Drosophila melanogaster: one gene and its partners. The protein of the gene in region 2 interacts with the protein of the main gene of each other region in a pairwise test. Each region holds a gene or a part of one and is shown on either strand. Other genes may lie near its edges. The genes, in order: Elys, Trs33, CG5011 and Dlip2.

The links.
Region 1: the proteins of Trs33 (region 2) and Elys interact in a two-hybrid assay, tested with the Drosophila melanogaster proteins (one large-scale study listed by BioGRID).
Region 3: the proteins of Trs33 (region 2) and CG5011 interact in a two-hybrid assay, tested with the Drosophila melanogaster proteins (one large-scale study listed by BioGRID).
Region 4: the proteins of Trs33 (region 2) and Dlip2 interact in a two-hybrid assay, tested with the Drosophila melanogaster proteins (one large-scale study listed by BioGRID).

What each region holds. Positions count from the first base shown.
Region 1 is NC_004354.4:19,649,667-19,659,410, reverse strand, and holds Elys (elys), read right to left. Parts: upstream 7,107-9,744; 5' UTR 6,956-7,106; coding exon 6,853-6,955; intron 6,785-6,852; coding exon 6,149-6,784; intron 6,090-6,148; coding exon 5,773-6,089; intron 5,719-5,772; coding exon 5,355-5,718; intron 5,286-5,354; coding exon 5,095-5,285; intron 4,960-5,094; coding exon 4,183-4,959; intron 4,114-4,182; coding exon 166-4,113; 3' UTR 4-165; downstream 1-3. Other genes in the region: Ranbp21, read left to right, coding at 8,111-9,744.
Region 2 is NT_033777.3:15,348,714-15,353,334, reverse strand, and holds Trs33 (TRAPP subunit 33), read left to right. Parts: upstream 1-2,339; 5' UTR 2,340-2,414; coding exon 2,415-2,483; intron 2,484-2,551; coding exon 2,552-2,941; 3' UTR 2,942-2,990; downstream 2,991-4,621. Other genes in the region: Tmtc4 (transmembrane O-mannosyltransferase targeting cadherins 4), read right to left, coding at 1-1,984; CG42727 (uncharacterized protein), read right to left, coding at 2,997-3,632; CG42726 (uncharacterized protein), read right to left, coding at 3,832-4,621.
Region 3 is NT_033779.5:1,198,109-1,202,597, reverse strand, and holds CG5011 (uncharacterized protein), read right to left. Parts: upstream 1,928-4,489; 5' UTR 1,739-1,927; coding exon 1,496-1,738; 3' UTR 1,378-1,495; downstream 1-1,377. Other genes in the region: CG43349 (uncharacterized protein), read right to left, coding at 2,146-2,358; CG43348 (uncharacterized protein), read right to left, coding at 3,020-3,148; CG5139 (uncharacterized protein), read left to right, coding at 3,460-3,999.
Region 4 is NT_033777.3:4,643,403-4,648,694, forward strand, and holds Dlip2 (dorsal interacting protein 2), read right to left. Parts: upstream 2,254-5,292; 5' UTR 2,167-2,253; coding exon 1,779-2,166; intron 1,675-1,778; coding exon 1,382-1,674; 3' UTR 1,247-1,381; downstream 1-1,246. Other genes in the region: nuclease slx1, read left to right, coding at 142-1,022; rpk (ripped pocket), read left to right, coding at 2,662-2,928, 3,174-3,276, 3,344-3,936, 3,993-4,736.

The DNA of each region.
Region 1 (9,744 bases), on a different chromosome or scaffold from region 2:
GTTGGGTGGATGCTATCAATTCCACATTAACTTCAATTTATTTAAACACTCAAACTAATGCCAAACTAAAATTAAAAATATTAAACGTAAGCAAAGTAAAAAATAAAAATACAGTGCCTTCCGAGCCGATTCTGAGTCTGCTGATCCGGTGATCCGGGTGCATAACTAATGCTCCGACTTGGAGGTGCGACGCAAGCGCGGACGTAGCTCCCGGTTCTGCGTGCTGGCGGCAGAGTTGGACTTAGAGCCGGTCCTAGAACTGGAGGCTTCCGAGCGAAGGTCACCTGTGCCATTCGCAGACTGATCGCTCAGTTCCGAGATGCGTCGCCTAGCGGTGCGACGGAGACGCGGCTGCTCCTCCTCTGGTGCAGTTGAATCGGGTACATCTATGGGAGCATCGATCGGAGTCGGAGAGACGGCGACTGGTGACTGGACGCCTGAGCTCGTCTTGCGCGATCTGACCCCCGCACGAGCAGTCTTCGGTTTGCGCACCAACTGCGCACTCAACGCAGCGGGCGGTTCGCTGTGGCCGCGCAATGATCGCCGGACAGAGGGACTCGCCGTCGGCGGTGCCTGCGAGGTGGCCCTCTTGCCGCGTGCCTTGGTCATTGTGGGCGTGCCGGGTCTGGAGCTCGTTGCCTCCGAGTCCACGCTGAGGCGCGTTCGCGAGCGGGTGCGCGGTAACGAAAGGTCCGAGGGACTATGCTCGTCGATCACCTCCAGCAGATATTTGTGCTGCAACCCACGACGCTTGGGAGTCGAGACTGGTGGATTGGATGCGGGCGATAAAGTTGGGGCGTCGGTGCTGCGCAAAGACATCGTGCGACCAGCGACTGGAGTCGGACTATCGCGATGCTCCTGGGAGACGCGACGAGGTCGCAGAGTTCGCGGACTGTCCTGGTGCTCCGTGAAGCTGCGACGCGGTCGCAATGTATGAATCGCCCGTGTTGGCACATCTTGCTCCTCCTCATCCTCATCACCGGAGAAAATCAGCTTCAGGCTGTGTCTTGAATCCTCCTCTTCGGGCAATAGTGGTTCTGGATTATGTTGGGTTTCCTCCTCGGAAGCTTCCTTGCTCTCCGTCTTGTCTCCTTCTTTGGGCTGCTCATCCGCCACATGTTCGACCTTCACAACGACCTGCTCTTCGGCTTCTGCGTCGACATCCTCTTCTGGAATTTCCCCAAGACCACTAGACTGCGTTGCTTGCCCTGCTGGCAAGGGTTCCAACTCCGGCACCTCCAGCACCTCCAGCACGTTCGGCACCTCATCCACCGCCATCTCGATATCCACATCGGAAAGTACTGGCAAGGGTTCCATCTCCGGCACCTCCAGCACCTCCAGCACGTCCGGCACCGCATCCACTTCCATCCCGATATCCATATCGGCACGTGGCTGCTTTTGCTCGCTAAACTCAACTGTGGCCACTGACTCGTTGCTCGGGGTCTCCTCCTCCATTGGCCAATCCTTTCGCTGCTCCGGCTGAGTATCCTTTTCCTTCGCCGTCTCCTCATCGCTATCTAGGACAATGGTGTCGGCCACATCCGAGTCGCTGTTGACCGTGGCGCCCAGCGAAAGGAATGGACTGGGGACACCAGCCGCCTCCTCCTGACATTCGTCCTTGAAGGCGAACAGCTCCGCACTGCTGGAGGCCGCCGATTGCTGGGGTCGGGCGACATAGCCGCGCACTTCTGTTCCATCCAGCGCTATGACGCAATCATCATCGTCGTACTCCTCCTCTTCCTCCAGCGAGCCCTTGGTGGTGTCCAGGTCGTCAACCGTTTCCAGACTATTGGCGCGGTACAATGAGATCGGCGTGCCATCTCCATCCTCGCCATGAGGTGCCTGCGGACTAGATGTCTGTGATACGTTCGTGTCGCTGGGCAGGAATGAGGTGGGCGTGTGCGTAACCGATCGGGATGTGGTTATGGAGCCCGGCGACTCAACAACGATGGAGTACATTGGGTCATCGGTGTGCAGTGTTGGCAGCATGGGATTCCGAATGCCGGCCGAGGACACGTTCGAGTCTTCGCTACTGAGGCTGTAGATGGGCGAGGAGAGGGGCTCCTGGGCCGTTCCTTCTGAGTTGCTTAGGAACGCCAGCTGACCACCGGTCGCCAAAGGCTCCTGCGCCTGATCCTCATCCTGATCCTGCTCTTGCTCCGGCTTCTGCTCGTCCTGTGGATTCTGTTGCTCCTCAAGCGATTTTGTGTCACCCAGCTTCAGTTCCTCTTCGTTCTCCACATCCTGAGTATCTTGCTGCTCAAGTGACGCCACATCGTAAGTGGACATTCCCAGCGTGGTGTCCATCATCTGGTGGTGCCCCTGTATAGCCGGCCTTGCTGATGGCAGAGACCACTGTGCGCTGGGTGCGGCCGTCAATTCTGCACCAAGATCGGTGGATTCCATTTCGCCACAGATGGTAGTGCGCTCGGAAATCTTAATCCCACAGCTGCCGCTGGAGAAGACCTGTGACTGCGTCTCGCCCATCTTGGACGAGCAGACGGTGGGCACAAACTGGGAATGTGATGACGTCTGAGCCGGCTGGACAGTGCTGAAGCTACCGAATCCACTACTACTCTCGCTCCCTGTTGCAGTACCAATCTTGCTACCGCTTCCATTTCCCCCATGTAGCAATGAGTTTCGGGGCTGTGGTCCTGCTGGTGGGGCGAAATAATGAGGAGAATTCCGCGATGGTACCGGATCCACCAAAGACACATTGGCCGATACTAAAGGCGAGAGGAACTCATCCTCCTCGTCGGACTCATAGCTGCAGGCGCTCCTTGGTTCGCTTCTTGACTCGATCTCCACAATGATCTCGTCAGTTTCCTCCTCACCCTCAGCCGCACCTTCGCTGCCCATCTCCGTCGATTTATCAGATTTATCAGTTCGCAGAGGAATGGGCGGCACAAAGCGAAATCTTTTTGGCCCCGCCAGCGCTGTGAATGTAGCCACCGGCGGAGCTCTCTTAACGGCATCCACGGCCCCGCTTCCCTTCAGGATCGGTGGAATCGGCTGTGGCGAACTGCTGCTCTGGCGTATCGTCGTCGACTGTCGCGCCTGGAGGAAATTTGGCGGCTGCAATAGATTGGTCGCCTCGTTTTGCTTGACCTCTTCCTGCTCCATTTGGTTCGAACTTTTTTCTCGAATGGATCTCACATAGTCTTTAACATCCTCCACCATTCGTTCAACCATCAGACAAGGACGCTTATTGGGACGCTCCGTGCCTAGCTGCCTCTGGTCCTGTAGATTGGTACGCTGATCCTCTAGCTCCCGCTGTCGTTTCTCCACCACCTGGTGTGGTACCGGCTTTACTATGCGCCGAGGAAGTGGAAGCTCCGAATGTCCGTATTGCGCGTGCCGCAGGAATGGCACATTGGTGTAGCCTATTTTTGATTGGATCGAAACGGGAGTCATCTTTGGAGGGGACTCGCATTGCGTTGCCCAGTGGGCACTGACGGCAGAACTCTGAAAGATGCCGCCCAATTGGCCGCTGGCGTTCTGTTTGACCAGCTGGCAGCTGAATGGCTCCAAGGGACCGGTCTTTTGGTAGGGCTCCAAGGTGTCTCTGATGCGAAGATACGTGCCGGCGATGTTCTGTGTAACTGGTCCCATTGTAGCGCTGTATGCTGGGAGTATTGTATTGGATGATTCATCTCGCTCCCGCTCGGCGGCCACCTCATCCATAAAGGACACGGCCTCGATGAACTTGCTCTTTTGAAGCAGCATTATCAATTGCACGCAATCCGTCTGACGCGATCTGCACTGGCGCAGTAGACTGTACAACAGCCGTTCCTCTGGCTCTCGCAGGTACAGCTCGGCCAAAACTTTGAAGCGTCTGATTTCAATGCAGTGGCGGAAGAAGCGCTCCAGCAGCGGCTGTCCATCCTCGTCGTCGTCGAGGCGAGCGATTTGGAATGCTTCCGTTATGTTTTCGTTGGCTAGGAGCACTTTCATGTGCAGCGCCGAGGACAATGGACCGGGTGGTCGACTGACCACCTTCTTGGCTGCCTTGACGGCACCTTCAGCCAGCAGTTTATCTATTAACAGCCGCATCTGCCACGATTTCAAGTTCTTAGCGGGGGCAGGCTCCTTGTATAGCTCCTCTACGCCTCGCTGTAATCAAATACATCACAAAACGAATGAATATAACACTTTCGCTTATATTAACCGATCCGAACTCACCTCGTAATCGCCGTGGTCCAAGTACCAGAAGCAGCGCAATGACGTGGCCAGATCTTTGTCCAGCTGAAAGGCAATCTGAAAGCGCCCGACCAGCTGTTGGTTCAGGTCCATCAGCAGGTAGAGGATAAGAGCATGTTTGTGACAGAGTTCTATGTCGGGACTGAGCATCAAGTGTATATACGCATGCAGCGAGTCCGGCGGATAGGGTTCCGGAAAGGAGGCGCGTTTTCCCAGAGAATCAATGTAGAGGATCTTTCCCTGCGCTCGTTTTTCCGAGTACTCGTGTTGCAGGCGAACGAAGGCCTGCTCGCCGGGTACCAGATTATCCATGTGCTGACCCTCCGGCAGGAGGCCGTGATCGATAAACCAAAGCAGCACTCTTTGGTACTCGAGAACCGTTTTCAGCGCCCTCTCGTTGGCACGGCAATCGTCCAAAATTGAGGAGGTTAGCCTGCGCCGTCCCTGCTCGACAATGTAGGACTGCAATCGTACCAATTCACGCAGCTGACCGGATAGCACTTGAAACTCGCGCCGTTCCCGCTGGTCCAGTGGATAGCCGCCGTAATCAAAGATGCCATGGCAAAGTTCCGAGCACCTCGTCTTGATCTGTCCGGCGCGCTTCAAGATCCAGTTGGTCAGCGTGGACAAGGAGAGTTGCGTGTTATCAATCATGTTGCACAAGAAGCTGCCATCCATCCAACTCCGTGCGCAGTCGTTAAGCAAAGCTCCGCAGTTGTGCTCCAGGGCCACCGACAGTATCAACTCGTACATGGCAATCTAGAGAGCAAGATAATGCAATGTTACTTTAAAACGAGTATAACGAGCATGATTCATTTCCCCAAAGACTGTGGTACTATATGATACCAGAAGATTTCCGGATAACTGATAATAATAACCTAGTGTGTAGCTCACCTTAGAGAATGTGGCGTTAGGGTTAAGCTCACAAAATTGTGGCAGGAGACGCAGGCGAACGATGTCCTCGTGGTAGATCTGAGGACGCAAAAAGAGCGTGGCACGATCACAGCGAAGTGCGTTCAGAAACCGATGCTGCACTCCGTCCTGGGCGTAGTACCGTTTGCCAGTTGGAGTTAACAGTGAGCAATCTGGAAATAGACGGTATTACTTGGCTATTAATCTTACTGGCGCTGGCTTCAATCACCGCTGTCACTTACCAAAGGTTAGTGAGTTGGGATAAAAGTGCTCATCGTAGCGCTGCAGTGAGACAAAGTGCAATATGGTGGTGGAACGCAAATCCAATGCCAGTCCCGTCTGTAGACCACTGAGTATGTAGCCGGACATGTAATTAGGAACTTCGTTTTTGTGAACGGATGTGGGCATCTCATCCTTGTACCACTGATTAATGTCGAACAGGACTAGCTTGTTCTTTTTATCTGCACTTGAGTGCCACGAGATGACAATCAGCAGCGTTCCGTTGTCGCCGGCAAAACTGAAAGTAGACGCCGTGGCGCAGCCGATCACGGAGCAGATGCCTCCGTCCAAGATTTGGCGGTTGCGCACGGTTCTAGAACGGTAGTCCTGCGAAGCAAGAAGTCAATATTGGTCTGTGCGTGACGGCTCAAGATTTCTCACCTTAAAACGGATCGTGTGGGTTTCCCGGTCCCGGTACGAGCCCCTGTAGCAGACCGAGTGCAGCATCATTTGCAGGACGTCGATATTTTGGTACAATGCACAGATGTAGAAACAGGGTTTGGGGTCATCCGGTGGCATAATGAGGCACATTCGCTTCACTGCTCTATTGACCCCTTTCCTTTTTACTGGCGAATTCAGATCAGTGGTCACGTCGAAGTTGATTAGGTCGTAGATCAGGATTCGGCCGTCTTCTAGACCAGCAGCATAGCCGGGCGCCATGCTAATGCCCATAAGGCAACTGATTCCAATGGATGCCACTGTTGGTAAATTGAAGGTTAACCTAGCTACCATGGCACACTGGCAGTGACAGACTCACCGTCCATCCGCACAGCCAAGTGAGCCCCTTTGGAGCGACAATGGGTCAGCTTGGAGCTGAGTTGCCTCTTGGACTCCTCGGAGGATACAAAGTATAGGTTCCCGTCCGACGGCTCATCTTTGGAACTGGGGGAGCAAAGGCTGCGCCTTTGGGTACTCGCCTGCAGGCTGTCGCTGTTCAGATCAACCAACAGCACAGTGCCTTCCTCGGTGGCCACGGCCAGACAGCCTTTAAACCGTCTCAGTCGCGTGAGTCCATAGATTCTTTTATCGAGGAACGTCAGCGCGCTGCACGTTATACCGTGAAGGTCGAAGCGGCGGAGCACCTGACTGTTGCGAATGGCATAGATGAGCACCTGCGTGCTCAACGGGCAGTCGATGGGTCTCTGATCGCCGCTGTTCCATGACTCCAGGCAGATGGCTAGCATAGCGGGGCGTTCGTGTTCGCCGGGGAAGAGCTCCTCCACGCAGCGAATGCTTTTGCGCGGCCCCAGATCATCGGATTCGCTCCAGAAGCAGTGCCAAGAAAGGTAATCGCCGGTGGACATGCTGCAGACCAGCAAAGTGGCATCGCTTCCATACCGCCAGGTCACCCAGCCCCATTGCCCGTCGCGTATGATGCCGCCCAGGTATTCGGCTGTAAAGGGATAGCGGAGATTCTTGGTGAATCGGTTTCGGCACACGCCGTATTTTGTGCACACTTACCGGCGTCCAAATGTGCCGACGGCTCCCGGCCAAATCCGGGTACTATGCGCTCCGGGAACGCAATCGTGCGGCTACCGTCCAACTCCACTTCGTGCCACTCCATCTCTATTTCATCAATGCCGGCCGCTTGCAAATAAAAATAAAATTATAAATACAGCGCTCTTGCACCGATTGATCGGCGTGTATGTTTTGTGTGTGCGTGAGTGTGTGAGTGCCTGAGCGGCCTGGCGTTGCCGCCTCGATTTGGCATACAAAAAAACCGTTGTTTTGCTTGTCGTGTATGCACGCTGAGTGGCCCAGTGCTGGCTAACGTCCGACAGAGATTCGCAAATTTAGCGATGGCAAGGACTTGAGTTACTAGTTACCATATATTTCTGTACATTTTCAATTTTTTCTATATACATGCTTAAACAAGTTTGTAACTGAGAGGCAAGCCAATCATTTGAAGAAAAGACTAGAAGCCGGCACTTGCAGCCTGGCAACTTCAACACCAGCAGACTGGCAACGCTGCAGAATTGCGAAAATATTGCGCGAATTTCATAAGGAACTCAACCGGCTGGCTTTGCATTTGAAGTCCGAATGAACACAGATAGTAGCAACCTTGAAGCGTAATGCCTTGTATCACTCAATTCAGGCATATATAGCTCCGAGTCAAGCTCTTAGTACATACAATAGCAACAATACTATCTGGCAACTTTCGTGCGCCGCTTGTCAACCCTGTCCCGTGCGATTTGCTGCACATTGTTCTAAAACAACCCAGCCGGAAAAGCGGTTTCAGTAGTGGTCTACTTCTATATGCGACTCAAATGTGAGAGACCTGACCAGAGGCTGTGTTCCAGGCAATAGGCGCTACCCAGGGCGATCATCGGTGCCCACAGGCAATCCCAACCAGAACACCAACACACCACAATCCCAGCTCACGCATTCCGCATTTCGCACACGGAACAGACCACACAACACACAGCACATAGCACATAGCACACACGCACACAGGTAGCGGCAGCTCTTTTAATCTTCCAAAACGTTGTCTGGCTCGCTGGCTGGTTGGCTGGCTCCACAAAAGCATTGGTCACAGACAACGCACGAGGGGATCGCGGCGGAGATCGAGAGGCTAGGCGAGATTTGGGTTTCGAGCGGTGGGCAGGGGCAAGCAGAGGTAAGTGGAGCACATGGCGCCCGTTGCAGGAAGAAGCCGCACCCAGGAAATTTGTTTCAATTCCAATCTAACGCAATACCCACAGGTAGACGCTAGCTAGCGATGTCCCAGCACGGAGGCACCGAGGCTCTGGCCGCCGAACTGGCCTCGGCCATCGATCTAGTCATGAACCCGATGACACAGCAACAGGCGCGCCTGGAGGCCTACATGGCCTGTGAGCGGTTTAAGGAGGAGTCGCCAATGTGCGCCCAGGTGGGCCTATTCCTGGCCAGCTCGCCGCAGTCTAACCAGCAAGTGCGACACTTTGGCCTGCAGCTGATCGAGTACACAATCAAGTACCGATGGAATTGCATTACGCACGAGGAGAAGGTGTACATTAAGGACAATGCCATCAAGATGCTGAACGTGGGCGTGGGCCCGGCGGAGGACCGCTCGCTGCTGCCCACGAAGGACGCGCTGTCGCGCATCATCGTCGAGATGATCAAGCGCGAGTGGCCGCAGCAGTGGTCCGACCTGCTGCCGGAGCTAAGCCAGGCCTGCACCAAGGGCGAGGCCCAAACGGAGCTGGTGCTTCTGGTCTTCTTGCGACTGGTGGAGGACGTGGCCCTATTACAGACAATCGAGTCGAATCAGCGGCGAAAGGACATGTACCAGGCGCTAAACAACAACATGAACGACATCTTCGAGTTCTTCCTGCGCCTGGTGGAGCAGCATGTGACTGCGTTCCGCGAGACAACGCGTCTGTGCAACTACACCAAGGCGAACGCGCACAGCCGTGTCGTCGAGATGGTACTGCTCACGCTGAGCGGCTTCGTCGAGTGGGTCAGCATCCAGCACATCATGTCCAGCAATGGCAAACTGATGCACTTCCTCTGCATCCTGCTCAACGACAAAGCATTCCAATGCAATGCGGCCGAGTGCCTGGCGCAGATCACGAACCGCAAGGGCCAGACCAAGGAGCGAAAGCCGTTGCTTCAGCTGTTCAACGAGGAGCCGCTGCGCTACATCTACCAGGCCAGTCAGATACCGGCCGACACAAGTTCCACACTGGCCGTCGAGCAGCACCTCAACTTCCTTAAGAAGTTGCTGCAAGTGCTGAACGGCATGGCGCAGCAACTGGTGGCGCTTTGGGGCAAGGACGACGCCACGCAACGACCAGTGCACCTGGAAGTCCTTCTCGAATGCCTATTGCTGCTCGTCCAGCATCCATCGCTGGGCCTCTCGCATGGGTCGGCGCTCATTTGGCAGCTGCTGCTTAAGCATGAGCCCTCCTCCAAAGACTTCGCCATGGTCAACTACATTCCCAAGCTCATCCACACGATTGCGCCCAGGATCGTGAAGCTGCCATATCCTGCCTCCGCTAGCTCGCCTGCCAGCCTCTCCACGGAGGCATATATTCGACTAGAACACGATAGTGAAGAGGAGTACGCGCTCTACTTTTTCCGCTGCCGGACCGACTTCCTTGAGATTTTCCGCCTGGCCACCCTGGTGCAGCCGTTGGTCACGTATGGCTACTGCGAACAGTGGCTGCAGCAACGACTGCGAAACGCGCAGATTGAAGCGGACGCGGAGGTCAAGAGCGGCAACGTGTCGTGCAGCGTTCTGGATCCAGTATACCTGGAATGGGATGCGCTGGTCAGTGTGTTGGACGGCGTGCTAAGCCGCATTCTCCTCGTGGCGGAACGCCCATCTGTGCCGGCAGGACTGCGACTCTTGGAAGAATGCCTCAAACTGGA
Region 2 (4,621 bases):
CCCAGCGATGATAGAGAACTCCGAGATTCGTGTGGTACAATGTGTTGTGGGGCTCCAGCTCAATAACGCGCTTGTAGATCGCCTCCGCCTCCGTATAATGTTTTAATTTGCCAAGCACGTTTGCTCGAATGAAAAGGATACTGACATCGTTGGGTAGATGTTGGAGAGCCTGATTAGAGATGCGCAAGGCGTCATCCTGCAACCCCTTGTTGTCCAGCATTGTCAGAATGTTAGCCCAGGCTTTTGGCTGGCGGGGATTTAGTGCCACAGCATGCTGCCAATGATGAAGCGCTTCGGCGTAACGTTTCTGCTCCAGATACAGATTGCCCATGTTGTAGTAGCAGACGGCGAAATTGGCTCTGTACTTCAGGGCCTTCTCATAGCTGGCCAGAGCCTTGTCGTACTTTCCCTGAGCCGACTGCACAATGCCGAGATTCATCCAAGCCGCTGGAAATGCGGGATACGCCTGCAAAGCCAATCGAATGTATTCCTCGGCGGTGGATAGTTGACCGTGCTCCCGATACAGGTTGCCGAGGTTCATAAGAGCTGACTCATAGTTCGGATACAATTCAATGGCCCTGTGGTAGTGCTGAAAGGCTTTCGTATTGTTTCCCATATCAGTGGCCAGTCGGGCTATGTTATAGTGTACCTTGGCATTGTCAGGACACACCTGTAGCGCGGACTTGAACAACTGCTCCTCGTTAAGCCAGTCAGTAGCTCGCTGCCGAGTCCGTACCATCATAACCGAAAAGAGCAGCATTAAAAGAATCCGTAGAGCAGTGCGCCAGTGGGTGTTTTCCGTACTGCTGTCATACCAATATAAGAATCCATAGATGGACAGCAGGCAAAAGCCAATGGAGGGTACATAGAGCGTCCGTTCGGCAATCACGAATCCTACGCAAATGATTCCCGACGCGGGCAGGAACGGGACGATCATTAAACCCAGAGCTAACATCATTCCGGGCAGCCGTCGGAAGTTCATCAGAGCCACCAATACGATGGAGTAGAATCCGATGACGCCCTGCAGTCTCAGATCCCAGATGTTGGTCACCAACTTGACGCAACCCAATGCCCAGTCGTAGCATAGCCAGTGGGGGCACAGCATCAGCCAGATGTTCATGACCAGCAGATACTGCTGGGAGAGCCCACGGGTCAGCACGTGCTCATTGTGCGCAACGGGGTTGTCAACTTCCTTGAAGGTAGGCGTCTCAAAGTCCTGCCACCAAAGGCGAGCCGTCAGCAGACCCAAGGTACCCAGCAAGTAGAACAAGTAGCTGATCCGGGTGCGCAAAAGACTCCACTGATCCTTGAATCGCAGATGATAGTAGCCGTTTTGAAAGTAATCCAATAGTACACACGACATGGGGATGGTCACAGCGGACTCCTTGAACAGCATTCCCACAGCGGTGAGCAGCATGATTAGACCGCCAGTCTGTGGACCAAGTCTTCCGGTATTGGCCACGGTCAGCAGAAGACACAACAAGTGAATCATGCCGAACATGAGCTCGGCCCTTCCAACCACACCAGAAACCGCCTCTGTGTGAATTGGATGGGCGGCAAATAGAGCAGCGGAGAGGATGGCCCATCTTGCCGTGCTGACCTCCGGAACATAGAGAGAGCGAATCAATCGCCACATGAGCAGCGTGTTGACGCAGTGTAGCAGGAGGTTTAGGAACTTCATGTGGGCGGCACTTAGCCCCAGAAGGGCATACTCGCAATGGAACATCAGGGTGGTCAGTGGCCGAAATGATTTGTGGGAATCGGAACTGAGCAAGGAAGCACCCCAGAAGTCGTGCGTGAAGATCGCCGTCCAGTTGGTGGGCAGTGAGTTGACATCCCGGTTCTTGACGATGGCCACCGTATCATCGAAGACAAACTTCGCTCCACTGAGGCCACCGCATCCGTAGCATAGCAAACAGATTAACACTAGGATTGCCTGACAGACCATGCTATGCAGCGTGGCTTTGTGAACGAGGTCTAGCATACTGGATTATTTACTAATTGTCAATTGTTCAAGTTTAATTCACTTATTCTGCGAATTTTAATCGGAATTGTTTTGTATACATTTTTTGTTGTGTTTTTGTCCAAACACCCCCTCACTGAATAGTGATGCCAGATCAGCGATAGAAATGTGTGCAGCTTAGCTAAATATATGCATCGAAAAATATATGGTTATAAAATGATTTGAAATTACGCTAAATAGATCTATCAAATCTGCTCATTTTAGAGTATTCATATTAAAATAATTATACATACTCTTGATATTAAAGTATAAATAATAGTAATAACAATAAACCACTAAAAGCAAACAAGACATTCGCCCGTTAACGCTTGCAACAGCTGTTTAAATCTAGATCAAAACAAATCCGAGGAAAAATTTGTTGAACTCACAAAGAAAAATTAAATCCTCGAAAATGTCTGAAGAAATCCTTTTCGATTGCCTCCATGCAGAGATAGTCAATTATTGTCTGGATAGCAATAAGGTAGGAACACGAGGGACGCAAAAAAAAATCAGTCATACAACCGATTTTGATTTGGTTCCGCCTATTAGGAGCACGACCTGGCCACTTTGGAGTATATAGGCTTCACCACCGGCTACCGCCTGATTGAGCGGCTCACCCGTGAAGTTTCGCGTTTTAAGGACGAGTTGGAGACTATGAAGTTTATATGCACCGACTTCTGGATGCTTATATACAAGAAGCAAGTGGACAACCTGAGGACGAACAACCACGGAATGTACGTTGTGCAGGACAAGGCTTTCCGCTTTCTGACTCGCATCTCGCCGGGCACCAAGCAGCTGGAGCACGCGCCCAAGTTCGTGGCCTTCACGTGCGGGCTGGTGCGAGGAGCTCTCAGCAATCTAGGCATTAACAGCACCGTGACGGCCGAAGTGCAAAGCATACCCGCCTGCAAGTTTCACATAGAAGTGAACAGGAACTAATTAGGATGTAAGGCAATGGTTTATTACTACAATTATAGAGATACTACAGACTAGACTAGGCTATCTTTTCGTAGAATGCCACAATGTTGTGGTCAGTCCAGTTAAGGCGTTCTCGCAGGATCCACTGGTCGATGGGCAGTTGGGGCTGGGCGGGATTGGGATCTGTGTGGATTCCCAGGGCGGGCAATGGTCCAATCAATATAAGCCACTTTCCTTGATACACATTTAGATAGTCCAGAAAAGCTCCTCGATTGTTGAAGTAGCAGAAGAGCAAGGCACACGGATGAACGTCACTGCAGCATTTGGTCAATAAATCCGTATCCAGTTGGCTGGCATCCTCTAAATAGTTAAGCGGTATAAAACTTCGAACGGAGTACTTGCTCTGCCACCAGTTGCGATCGACCTCCAAGCCAAACATGGGGACTTTCCGACCTCCAGACACTGTCATAAGCCATTCCAAAAGCCCACTGCCGCAGCCGATGCTCAAAACTCGCTGGATGTCGTGCATGGCTAGCAGCTGATTAAAGTAGTCCAAGTCCACCGATGTCGGCCACATCCAGAGCAGCTTGCGCTTGAGCTGTTGGTCCAGGCAGTCGCCCAGGACAAGCAACTTGCGCCAGTTGCACGACGCATCATCAGTTAGGTAATAAATTTCACGCAGTGTCTCGAGTTCCGATTGCTCGTCCATCATATTGAATACTGTTAGTTGCAAATTAAGCGGTCTTGCTGCTTCCGATGGCCGGTGAACTTGGCAGTGACGCCGGCACGCGGAAATATGGCTAGCGGCCAACAAGATTGCTGCGGTTCGCTTCGGTTCGCAGCACCTGACTGATCTCTAATAAATTAGAGGACCCCTTTGAAAAAGGGCCAACTCATTAGAGATCATATCGTCACTTTGTGTTTTCTTCTTTTTGGTACCAATATTTGAAATTCTTGCGCCAGTGCATCTCGCTAAATTTGGAGCTACCTTGCCCCGGGACACGCGGCTGGTGATGTTGCATGGCTGGTTCTTGGGCATCGGGGCTAGGTTCGCTAGAGTATTCCTCGTTGTCCAGATCCAAGATGATCTTGCGATACAGCTGGACATTCTCCTCTGGCATTACATCTGGCAGAGGCAGATGCTCTGGGACAGCTTTCCCTTTCTCCATCTGCAGTTCAGGGAGTTGAGATGGCAGTGGCGTAGATTGCAGCAACATCACTGGCTCAACGTTGCCCACACTCTGGATCACACTGTTGTATCTTACAGTCTGAGATGGTCTTTCTTCCGCCGTCGTGGCCTCCTGAGCACTGGACCTCGGTGTAACCATTTCAACAGTACTGGCAAACGCACAACCAGGGTGCATGGATCGCAGATGTCGCAGCATGTTGTCCTTTCGGTTGATAGTGATGTCACATTGGATACAGCGGTAGCGTTCGGCAGTCTTGTGTTGTCTTAAATGTCGGCCCAGAGCATCCGGATCATTGTAGCTTTTGCCGCACAGGGAACAGGACTGACGTTCGCGATTTGAGTGGCGCTTCATGTGCAGCCGAAGCGTGGTTTGTCGCAGAAAGGACTTCTGGCACACTTTACACATGTGCCGAATATTGTTCTTGTCGTGTTTCCGCAGATGCTGGTTCAAATTGGCCTTGTTCTGGAAATGCTTAGAGCAGAGCTCGCATTTAAATTGCAGGCCGAGATCG
Region 3 (4,489 bases), on a different chromosome or scaffold from region 2:
CGCAATTTATCGAGTGTATTGAGTCAGTCTACGTGCTGCACATAAACCGCACTTATCTGGCTGACTGACTAACTGACTGGCTGAAGGATGTGGGCTATGCACATCCCATCCAGGATCCGCAGCCCACTTTCCTCCGGGGTGCGCTTCCTGCCATTGAAAGCCGATAGCCGACGGAGAGCGAGCCAAGAAAAATTGCATGCGGTTAGGAAAGCGAGCAGCAAAATTAATGTGTCTGCCCCGGCTGAAGTTGCCCCCAGCTCCAGCTCCAGCTCCAGCACTAGCTTCAGCTTTAGCTCCAACTACAGCTCTTGCTTCAGCTGTGGATGCTCCGCAGTCCGGACCGCGTCCATGTCCATGTGCTGCCACCCGAAGAAGCATCCATCCTTAAGCAAATAGACGGACGGAACGTGTCCGTGGCCATATCAAAATGATGTATGTGTGTTAGATTTGTTATAAATTTTATTTGCCGTTTGCTTGATTTTTACCCGGGTCTGTTCCATTAAACAACCCACCCACCCCGATTCGATTGGGATTCGACCGCAGATGCAGTCAATTATTAAACGCCTGAGTGATTGCGGTCACAAACGGGGTGGGTCTATTGCGAAAATCGCATGTATTACACTAGTTATCCAGCCAGAAGGTCATAACCATATCAGCCAACGTGGCGGATGAGTAATATATTCTTTTTAAAAACAAATTTTGTCTATGTGCTCCCATTATTAAGTAGCACTGTTAAAATACTGTTATATTCTAAATAAGTCTTTAAAGTTATATATTATATCATCCCTTTGTACTTTCCCTAAAAATCAACAGTGGCGTACCCCAAAAATCACCTCAACAATCTAAGTTAGGTTCTGACTAATGTAAGCAAATGCGTATTTCCTATCGATAAGATTGCACAGCTTTATCTAGCGTTGAGTTGAAGTAACTCATTGATAAGGTTTACAACAGGTTTATATGCATGATTACTAATAGTTCAGCGTTCAAAATAAAAACAAAAATATTATTCTTGAACAAATGGAATGGAAAAGAGCCAATAAATCAAAGATATGCTCAGTTAAGAATTCATGACATTCGACTAATACGATAAGCCCACGTATTAATAAAGAATCCAGTGATTGATTGACTGATTGATTGATTGTTTTCCTAGTGAAATATTAGTAATGACGTGTTACCTCAAGAATTTGATAGTACCCGAAAATAAGCTATCATAACGCACCTAAAGAATGACGACTTTTTCAATGGATTATCTTTATGACGGTCCTATGGGAATTCCAAAAAACCGTCCTTATCTTATTAGGCGCATATATCATCATACTCGAAATGGGATTGTTTGTTGGCATAGAAGCTACAAGTAATAAAACTTGAATCACACATAGGCGTGACTAACTAAAGTTAGTTTATATATTTAAAAGCAGCATATTTTTTAATCACACACAAATGTACATTTGTTGATATCACACTATATTAACCGATCTAGATTACAGTTCAGTTCTTATCGCGGATGCATTGGAGGTCCTGGGGCCACGTATCCTGGACCATATGGATACGGACCATGCGGCGGCGGAGGATTGTAGCCGGAGCTGTTTCCGTGAGGAGGTTCGTGGTAAATCGGATGCACTGGCGTGTGGAACGGGGGCTGTGGTTCATGGTGCGGAGGTCCATGGTGCGGTGGTCCGTGGGGCGGTGGCCCATGAGGCGGCGGGTTGTGGTGGTGGTGCGGTGGTGGAGGAGGCATCTTTGCTTGGCGGGCTTCTGTTGTACACTAAACTGGCTCACTCCTGCCAGACCTTTTATACAAAAGTAACATAGTTTCAGTAGGCTGTAATCTTATCTGCATTCTAGTGGAGAGGGACTTTCTTTTATATATAATTGTCTACCTTATCTGCTGGCTTTTTGATACTTAATCATACTTAATCAATTCTTGCTTCAATATTCTTCTAATTGCTTATTAGAATCAGTATCTTTATAATGGTGTTATAAAATTAAACAATTTCTAAAATAAAAACATTTTGCTCTTGGTGAAACTAACTAGAAGTTAGTGAAGATATTTTAATGTTAGTTTGTGGCTTAATCACAGTTAACGATTAAGTTTTTCCATATCAGTTTATAACGTTAAATTCGGCTTATATTGTATTATAGTTCTCATCGAGGATGCATTGGAGGACCGTGGTGTGGTGGTCCATGATGATGGTGGTCGTGGTGCGGAGGTCCATGGTGCGGCGGTCCGTGGTGTGGTGGCCCGTGATGCGGTGGCCCGTGGTGTGGAGGACCATGGTGCGGTGGCCCATGGTGGGGAGGTCCATGGTGTGGTGGCCCATGATGATGGTGGTGGTCGTGGTGCGGTGGAGGTGGCATCTTGACTTTTCTGACTTTAGTTGAGTACTAAGCTAAAGCCTATCCTGTCAAACCATTTATAGGAAAATGATTCGAATACGTTGTAATCTTATCTAAATTTCAGATAAGACGAGCCCAGTTCGGTTGATAAGTAAGTTTCGGGTTTTCCCACAACAACACTTCGCTCAATAAAAACAAATGTATGACATTCGAAATTAGTAATAACAAACAAGCGAATTGTTTACTGATATGTCTATATGTGACTTAAAGAATAAGTTAATGACGACTTTGCATGTAGTTCATAAGTACAACAATATGGAGATGTTATAATATTTTATTTTTGTAAGCAACAATCAGCAACAATCAGCAACAAATTCTTAAGCTTAGTACGTTGCACTTAGGACGTGTATTATAATTTAAAAAGCATTTAGATCTTCAAATCATATGTATGCTTTGTTCAAATTAATGGAAGCTTAGAATGCATTAAGCAGTATCACCAATTCAAGATCATAAACATTGAAGATATAGAAAAGAGTAGAGCTATGTATTTTGTACAGGCTTTTATTTCTTTGGTTTGAAGAGTTTTTAAGACTTTCTATTAGAAACTAAGTTCCCTAAAAAGTATCCATCTTGTTTTGTTCTGTATAAAATTGAATCTTATTTATAGTCCTTGTCCATGGGCCTAGTGATGTCCGTGATGGGGCTTCGGATCTCCGTGGTGAGGGGGATGCGGTCCTGGTTGGTGATCCCCAGGATGCGCAGGACCCTTCGGTGGGTGCGGTTGGTGGGGCTGGTGCGGTGGTGGTGGCATGTTTCCAAAGCGATTTCCGTTCTGAACTAAAGTATTACCCCGATTTCCACGCTATATATAGTGACGAAAGACTGCTGGAGGCATTGGTTTTCCCATTAAAACATTTTATCAGCCTGTTTTGCGATAAGGTGAGTACTTGGTGGTCATATCGGAATTTCCCTATGACAACGCAACGAGAAAATCACACATCTAGCTTCCCTGATTTTTCAATCGAACAGGATTTGTATATTCGTATGATCTTTTGAAGTGGGAGGAGTGTGCATTCTTGTATTCAAATTTTTTATTGTATAAAATTTTCTCGTGAACAAATTATGGAAAAGAATCTGTGGAATACGCTGCAGGAAGTCGAGCAAGTCGAGGTTGCTTTTAAGCAGACCTTGAGAAACATTACCGATATCCAGAACCGATACAAAACGGTTTCGGCCTTGAAGAGCAAGGCCTCCAGGCGCCAGGAATCCTTCGAGGCGGAGATCCAAGGTGCCATTACAGCACCCAATCCTGCCAAGAAAAGGAGGGTGGTCAAGAAGAGCAAGATCAATATCTTGAAACAGAGGAGTCTGCTACCAATGCCAGTACCCAATCTCAGATCGGAAACTATCCTGCAGGTGGAGGAGCCTTTTGTGTGTCTCGAAACGAATTGCGTCTACGAAATACACAAGACAACCACTCACCTGATGGCGCGGAAACCATATGGAGCTCTCATCCGGCGACTGTATCGGTCAGCCAGGCGGAAGAGGATGTACGACCAGGAGCAGGAACAGGATCAGGAACAGGTTGAGGAACAGGATCTGTATCCAGACATGGAATGTTACCACTGCTGCTGCTCAGCGTGTTGCATAGAGTGCAGATAAATTTGTTCGTGATTGTATATAGCATATTTTTGGGCTTTCACAAAGCTTCAAAGTTTGTAGCAAGCATTTTATGTGATAATAAATAAATTGTACTTGTCCAAATGAACAGCAACAGCTATTTGCTGGCTAGTAACAATTTCATTGAATTTATTTGAGTTGTACCTCGGGTTTTCCTCGATAATTTTTTCAATAACTAGCCTGAGCATCGATTACCTCTGTCTCTCGACAATAAAAACAGGCAAGGAAGCCAAAACAAAGGAACGTTTGCTTACCTACGAGTCGCACTTTGTATGGGCAACTTAAACGCTAATGGCATAAACATCCGAGACGTGAGCGAAATGTTTAAAACGCGCCTTTTGAAGCGCAGGATGCCAGGACGACGGGACGGAAGCCGAGGTTTAGCGACTGTAATGTGGCCGCCGCCCAAATCAAATCTCAAATCATGCACGTTTCCATCGTGGCCAGCGGGAAAGCCGGGGAAATGCGCCGC
Region 4 (5,292 bases), about 11 Mb from region 2:
AATTTTATTTCTTTTTTTATTTTAGAAAATCTTGAAAACCTCATCTCATTGCTTTAGTTAGGGTGTCGCCTCCTTTGTCGTTGGTTTTTGGTTGCAGACACAAAGCAAGTTTCATTAATCTATCTGTTGGTGAATTCACAGACCCACAGGACACAGCTTCTCAACAGGAGGAATCCGTCGCGCTGAAGGGCCACTTCTACGGCGTCTATTTGCTATGCAGTCAGAGCTTGGATCCTCGCTACCGGGGAAAATGCTACGTGGGCTTCACCGTGAACCCCAAACGGCGGATACGCCAACACAATCTTGGTTGTGATTTCGGTGGCGCGAGGAAAACCAGTCGCAAAGGGCCGTGGCTGATGGTAATGATCGTGCACGGATTCCCGAATAATACAGTGGCACTCCAGTTTGAATGGGCTTGGCAACAGCCGTCGCTTTCAACTAGGCTTAAAATGTACCCTGAATTAAAACGAAAACTGCCCAGGGAGACGTTCTTTGACTACAACTTTAGGATCCTTAGTAATATGCTGGGGGTTGGCCCTTGGAATAGATTACCGCTCACCGTTCGCTGGCTAGAAACGGATTACGAGAGGCCATTCAGCAAGGCACTGCCTAAACACATGGAAATTGTGAGTGGCAAGGTTTCCATTAGTGCCTCACAACGTAGGAGACCTGATGATGCAGTACCTCCTCCACCTGTGGCGTGGGCTTCCGAGTGCCACCTTTGTATGCAGGAAATGGAGCAACCGGAGAAATCCCGCCTGGGATGCACAAATCAAATGTGTCGGCTGACATGCCATATGGTGTGCCTGGCCAATTACCTTCTGGGCGACGAGCCAGGTCATTACATCCCAGTTGGAGGAGAGTGTCCGCTTTGTGAGACTCGTCTCAGCTGGGCAGCACTGCTGCAGCGCAAACGTCTTCTTTTGGGCGTGCCTGAAGAACTGCAGGATCATGACGAGGATCTGAGCGACGACATTGATGTAGACAGCGATATTGAAGATACCCCGGAGCTCAGCGATTAGTTGAGGACCCATTTCATTTTATTTACAAATGCTAAGGTATCGCATAAGCTAAAAGTATCTAGGCAAACACCATCTTAATGCGCTTGTAAAAGTAAACATTTTAACTAAATACTTTAAAAATATTTCCAATAGATAATACTGAGTATAATTTAGATTTGTTTGCGGTATTTAAGGTTTAAACGAAAGAAATTAAATGCTGAAATTTAAAGTGTAACAAATTAATTAATATTTATCAGTATTTATTCTCCAAGTATAATAAAATAAATTATTAGGTTTGTTTCCCAATTCGTCAGGTGCTTTTAAACTAAGATAACGTTCAGTAAATTGACAGAAGAACAACATGTATTACATTGATAAAGTTAAAGGTCAAGGTGGGAAATATGTTTCTTAATGCTTCTTAAAGCATTTTTATAGTCTTGCAAAAGTTTAGCCATTTTCCGCTTTTCCTGCAAGTAATACTCCATAGACATTTGTACGTACTCCTGTCCCTTGAAGTTGAACACAGACACTTCAGTAGTATCTATATTGTCGGGTTCTGCTCTAACTCGGCCTGCATTCGGATTGGGTTCCATTTTCACAGCTTCCTTTAGAGCAATGACAATGGAAGATTCCTTCGGGCGCTTCTGCGGTGGACTATCGTGGACTGCGTCAACTGAAAATAATGTTAAAGAAGTTAATAAAGCATTAAGATGCAACACCGACATGATGAATCCAACCCGCTCTATTTCGAAGGCCCGGTGGATTTATAGTACTTACTTGTAGTAACTGAGGTAGTGTCCACATTGTTGATGCTGAGCTCATCGTCGCTCAGGTTTATATAGTAGCTCTCATGCGAAGTGGAAGCCACTTGTTGGGGCTCCTCCTCCGGCTTGCTACTGCTTTCCTCGTACGGAAACGGCACTGCCTCGCCGACGAGGAGCGTTCGGTTCTTAGAGGAGGATATGAACTTGCGGTCAAAGTGAAGGGAGCACATAAAAAGCTGGCTATGGGGAATCTTTGGATGCACTTGGCCGTTTTCGTGCCAGATTCTCGCCCTTTGCGGTTGTTTGGGAAAGGCAAACAGGGTTCTTCCTTTGGTCAGCGCGTTTTCGTGGCCTACGTAATAGTATTCACAGTCCTTGTACGCACAAGACCTTGTCGCCATTTTAAATAAATTTAAATAATTACGAATCTTAATAATTAAGTAAACAGTACAAATCGTGTACGAAGCATTCGTTATCGATACATATCGAGGCGTAACGAGGATTTGGATTTTCAACTCGTTTCCACTTTTCTGCGTTTTGAAATATTTTTCTTTGGAGTTTTAATTTTTAACAACACAGGCGAATGTGCAAATAATGAATTGGGATAACGTGTTAACAATGACAATTAATAAAGTTGCAGCAAATATGTACCTGTTTTTCGTTTTTGTTAATTTCAACAAAATTTAATTTAATTCGGAAGTAAAATATATCGCTAAATTGTCACCATCCGAACGTTTTTTTGCAAGTTCTCTCCAAGATCCTGTCAATCTGGCAGGTCTGCCAAGAAACGGGAAAAAATTCTCGTTTTGCCATTTGTCTTTCACGTTGTTTTCGTCTCCAACCCACATGGATTACTTGAAGCTGTGTTTGTGCGCGTCAAGAATGGAATAGACACCATGACCATATCGGATTCGGAACTCGACAGCAGCAAGGGCATCGACCTGACATTCAGGAGGAGAAGGAAGGCAGGTTCCGTCGCCTGCGAAGGATTTATCACCACGTACCATGAATACTGCAGGAACACTTCCATACATGGTGTCCAATATCTTGGCGAGCAGGAGCGCCCCTTCCGCGAGCGCATCTTTTGGCTGTTCGTGTTCCTGATCTCGATCTACGGCTGCTCCACGCTGATTCAAAGTGCCTACACCAAGTGGACCGAAACGGTGCGAGTCCCTAGTAGAACATACCATACATACATATGTATATACGTAGCATCAGTAAAAGCTCTCTGAAACAATAGCATTTAAAGTACAGATCCTTCAAAATTGCGATGTATTATGCGATATATTATGCACCCTAACTGTTATGTTTTATAAATATAAGAACACTACAGGGTCTTCTGTAAAATGAAAAGTGCTCTTGCTGCCTTCAGCCGACAACAAAACTAATATTTTGCGTTTTTTTAAAGCCTGTGATCGTTAGCTTCGCGGAAAAATCGACCCCCGTGTGGAACATCCCGTTTCCGGCGGTCACAGTTTGCTCGGAGACCAAAAGGGTGCTAAAGCAGAAAGGTTTGTTATTCGGGAAGCCTCTAGTTGTACAGACTATGAATATTAACATGTAACCTTTGTCTGACAGGAAAAGAGACCACTTATGCTGATCTTTACAGCCAGTTCAGCGAAGATATGCGAGCTTCGCGGGTGTTTAGGCCCGAAAACGTTAGTGCCCTTGAGATGGAGGAGTTCCGCACCCTGCTGCACGTATGCAACACGCAGATCATTGAAGAGGACATACCCTTGATAGCCGGCGATGACTTGGACTACTTTGATGTTCTGCAGCGGATGCTGCCCCAGTTTGATCGGTACTTCTTTTACTGCCGCTGGCTTAGTCGTTTCGGCGAGTGCGAGACCTTCTTCCGAAAGACTCTTACGGAGGAGGGCATCTGCTATACGTTCAATGGGCTGAGAGCCACTGAGATATACCGGGACGACACCTATCAGTATCAACACAGCGGGGAGCCCCTGGAAATGGAAAATATTAGCTCGCAGCATACGGCCTGGACTCTGGAAACGGGCTATGCACTGGACAGCGATGTGGAGACCTTTCCGGCTCGTGTCTTAAGTGCCGGAGCGCGATCTGGCATTTTCTTGGCCCTCCAAAGCTTTAAGCAGGAGGTGGACTACGCCTGTCGAGGACCTGTGCAGGGATTTAAGGTGGGAAAATTTGAAAACGTAGCTGTTTGCTTTTTCTTGCTCCAATATGTGTCTACAGTAATGCCAATCTACAGGTACTGCTTCATGCGCCCGATGACGTCCCGCAGGTTTCCAAACAGTTTGTGCGCATTCCCATGGGCAAGGAGGTGCTGATCGCAGTGAAGCCCAACATGATCACCATGTCGTCGGGAATAGCAGAGTACCATCCAGTTCGGAGGCAGTGCTTCCTCAGCCACGAGCGGTCGCTGCGTTTTTTTAAGGTGTACACCGAATCAAATTGCCAACTGGAGTGCTTGGCCAACTTCACGCTGACCAAGTGCGGATGCGTTAAGTTCTCGATGCCCAGAAACGTGGACATGCCTGTATGCGGAGAGGACAAGATCCACTGCTACGATCGGGCAGAAAGGGAGTTGTTAGTCAGGGAATTCAAAAGAGTAAAAGCGCTGAACGCTGGCCGAGAAAATTCGCGGAGCGTGGAATCTGCCTGTAACTGCATGCCAGCATGCACATCCCTCGTCTACAACACGGAGATTTCCCAGGCCAACTTTGATTTGGAAGAAATGCTAGTGGCTGAGGGCGACACTGAGTTCCTGAAGGAGTATCCCGGCTCCCAGATGTCCCGCTTGTCCATTTACTTCAAGCAGAGTCAGTTCATCACTTCAAAGCGGTCGGAGCTTTACGGAATGACCGAGTTTCTGGCGAATTGCGGTGGCATTTTCGGTCTATTCATGGGGTTCTCCATCTTGAGTCTTGTGGAAATGATCTACCACTTCACGTTGCGGCTCTTTACCAATCTGAAGCGCCTGGTTAAAGGATAACCCATTAGCACTATTTCGTAAGTGCGAACAATTCTTATGGTTCCAAAAATTGTGGTTTGAACTAGTTATATACATATTTATACTAATGCTTAGTCTAGCAGAAATTTTTCAATATATGCCATACTAGGTAATTTCAAAACATAGCTGACATAAAAACCAAGACGGAGTCAGTCTTCCCGAACATTTTCAACAGTGGCTTCGATGTCATAATGTCATTATATAACTCAGAATCGGCTGAATTTATTGATTCCAATCTGTGTCGAGTCTTCCGCAAGGACATCCTTCAGCTGAATGTCTTAAACTCTTCAAATGCGACCCAATTTTGGATATATATTTCATATATATTATTTATCAGGCCCATATGGACACCATCTTCCACGTTTATGCTATCTTGAAGGTCTATGATGCCCGTTAACTTAGCACATGAATTCAGAGTAATCGATGATTTTCATAGCTCAACCACCTTACTAATGTCTTCAATGTTTTAATCAACATAATCAACATTTAGTACACACCGACAGCGGTGTATTATCTATAGTCTATCTTATAATCTAGA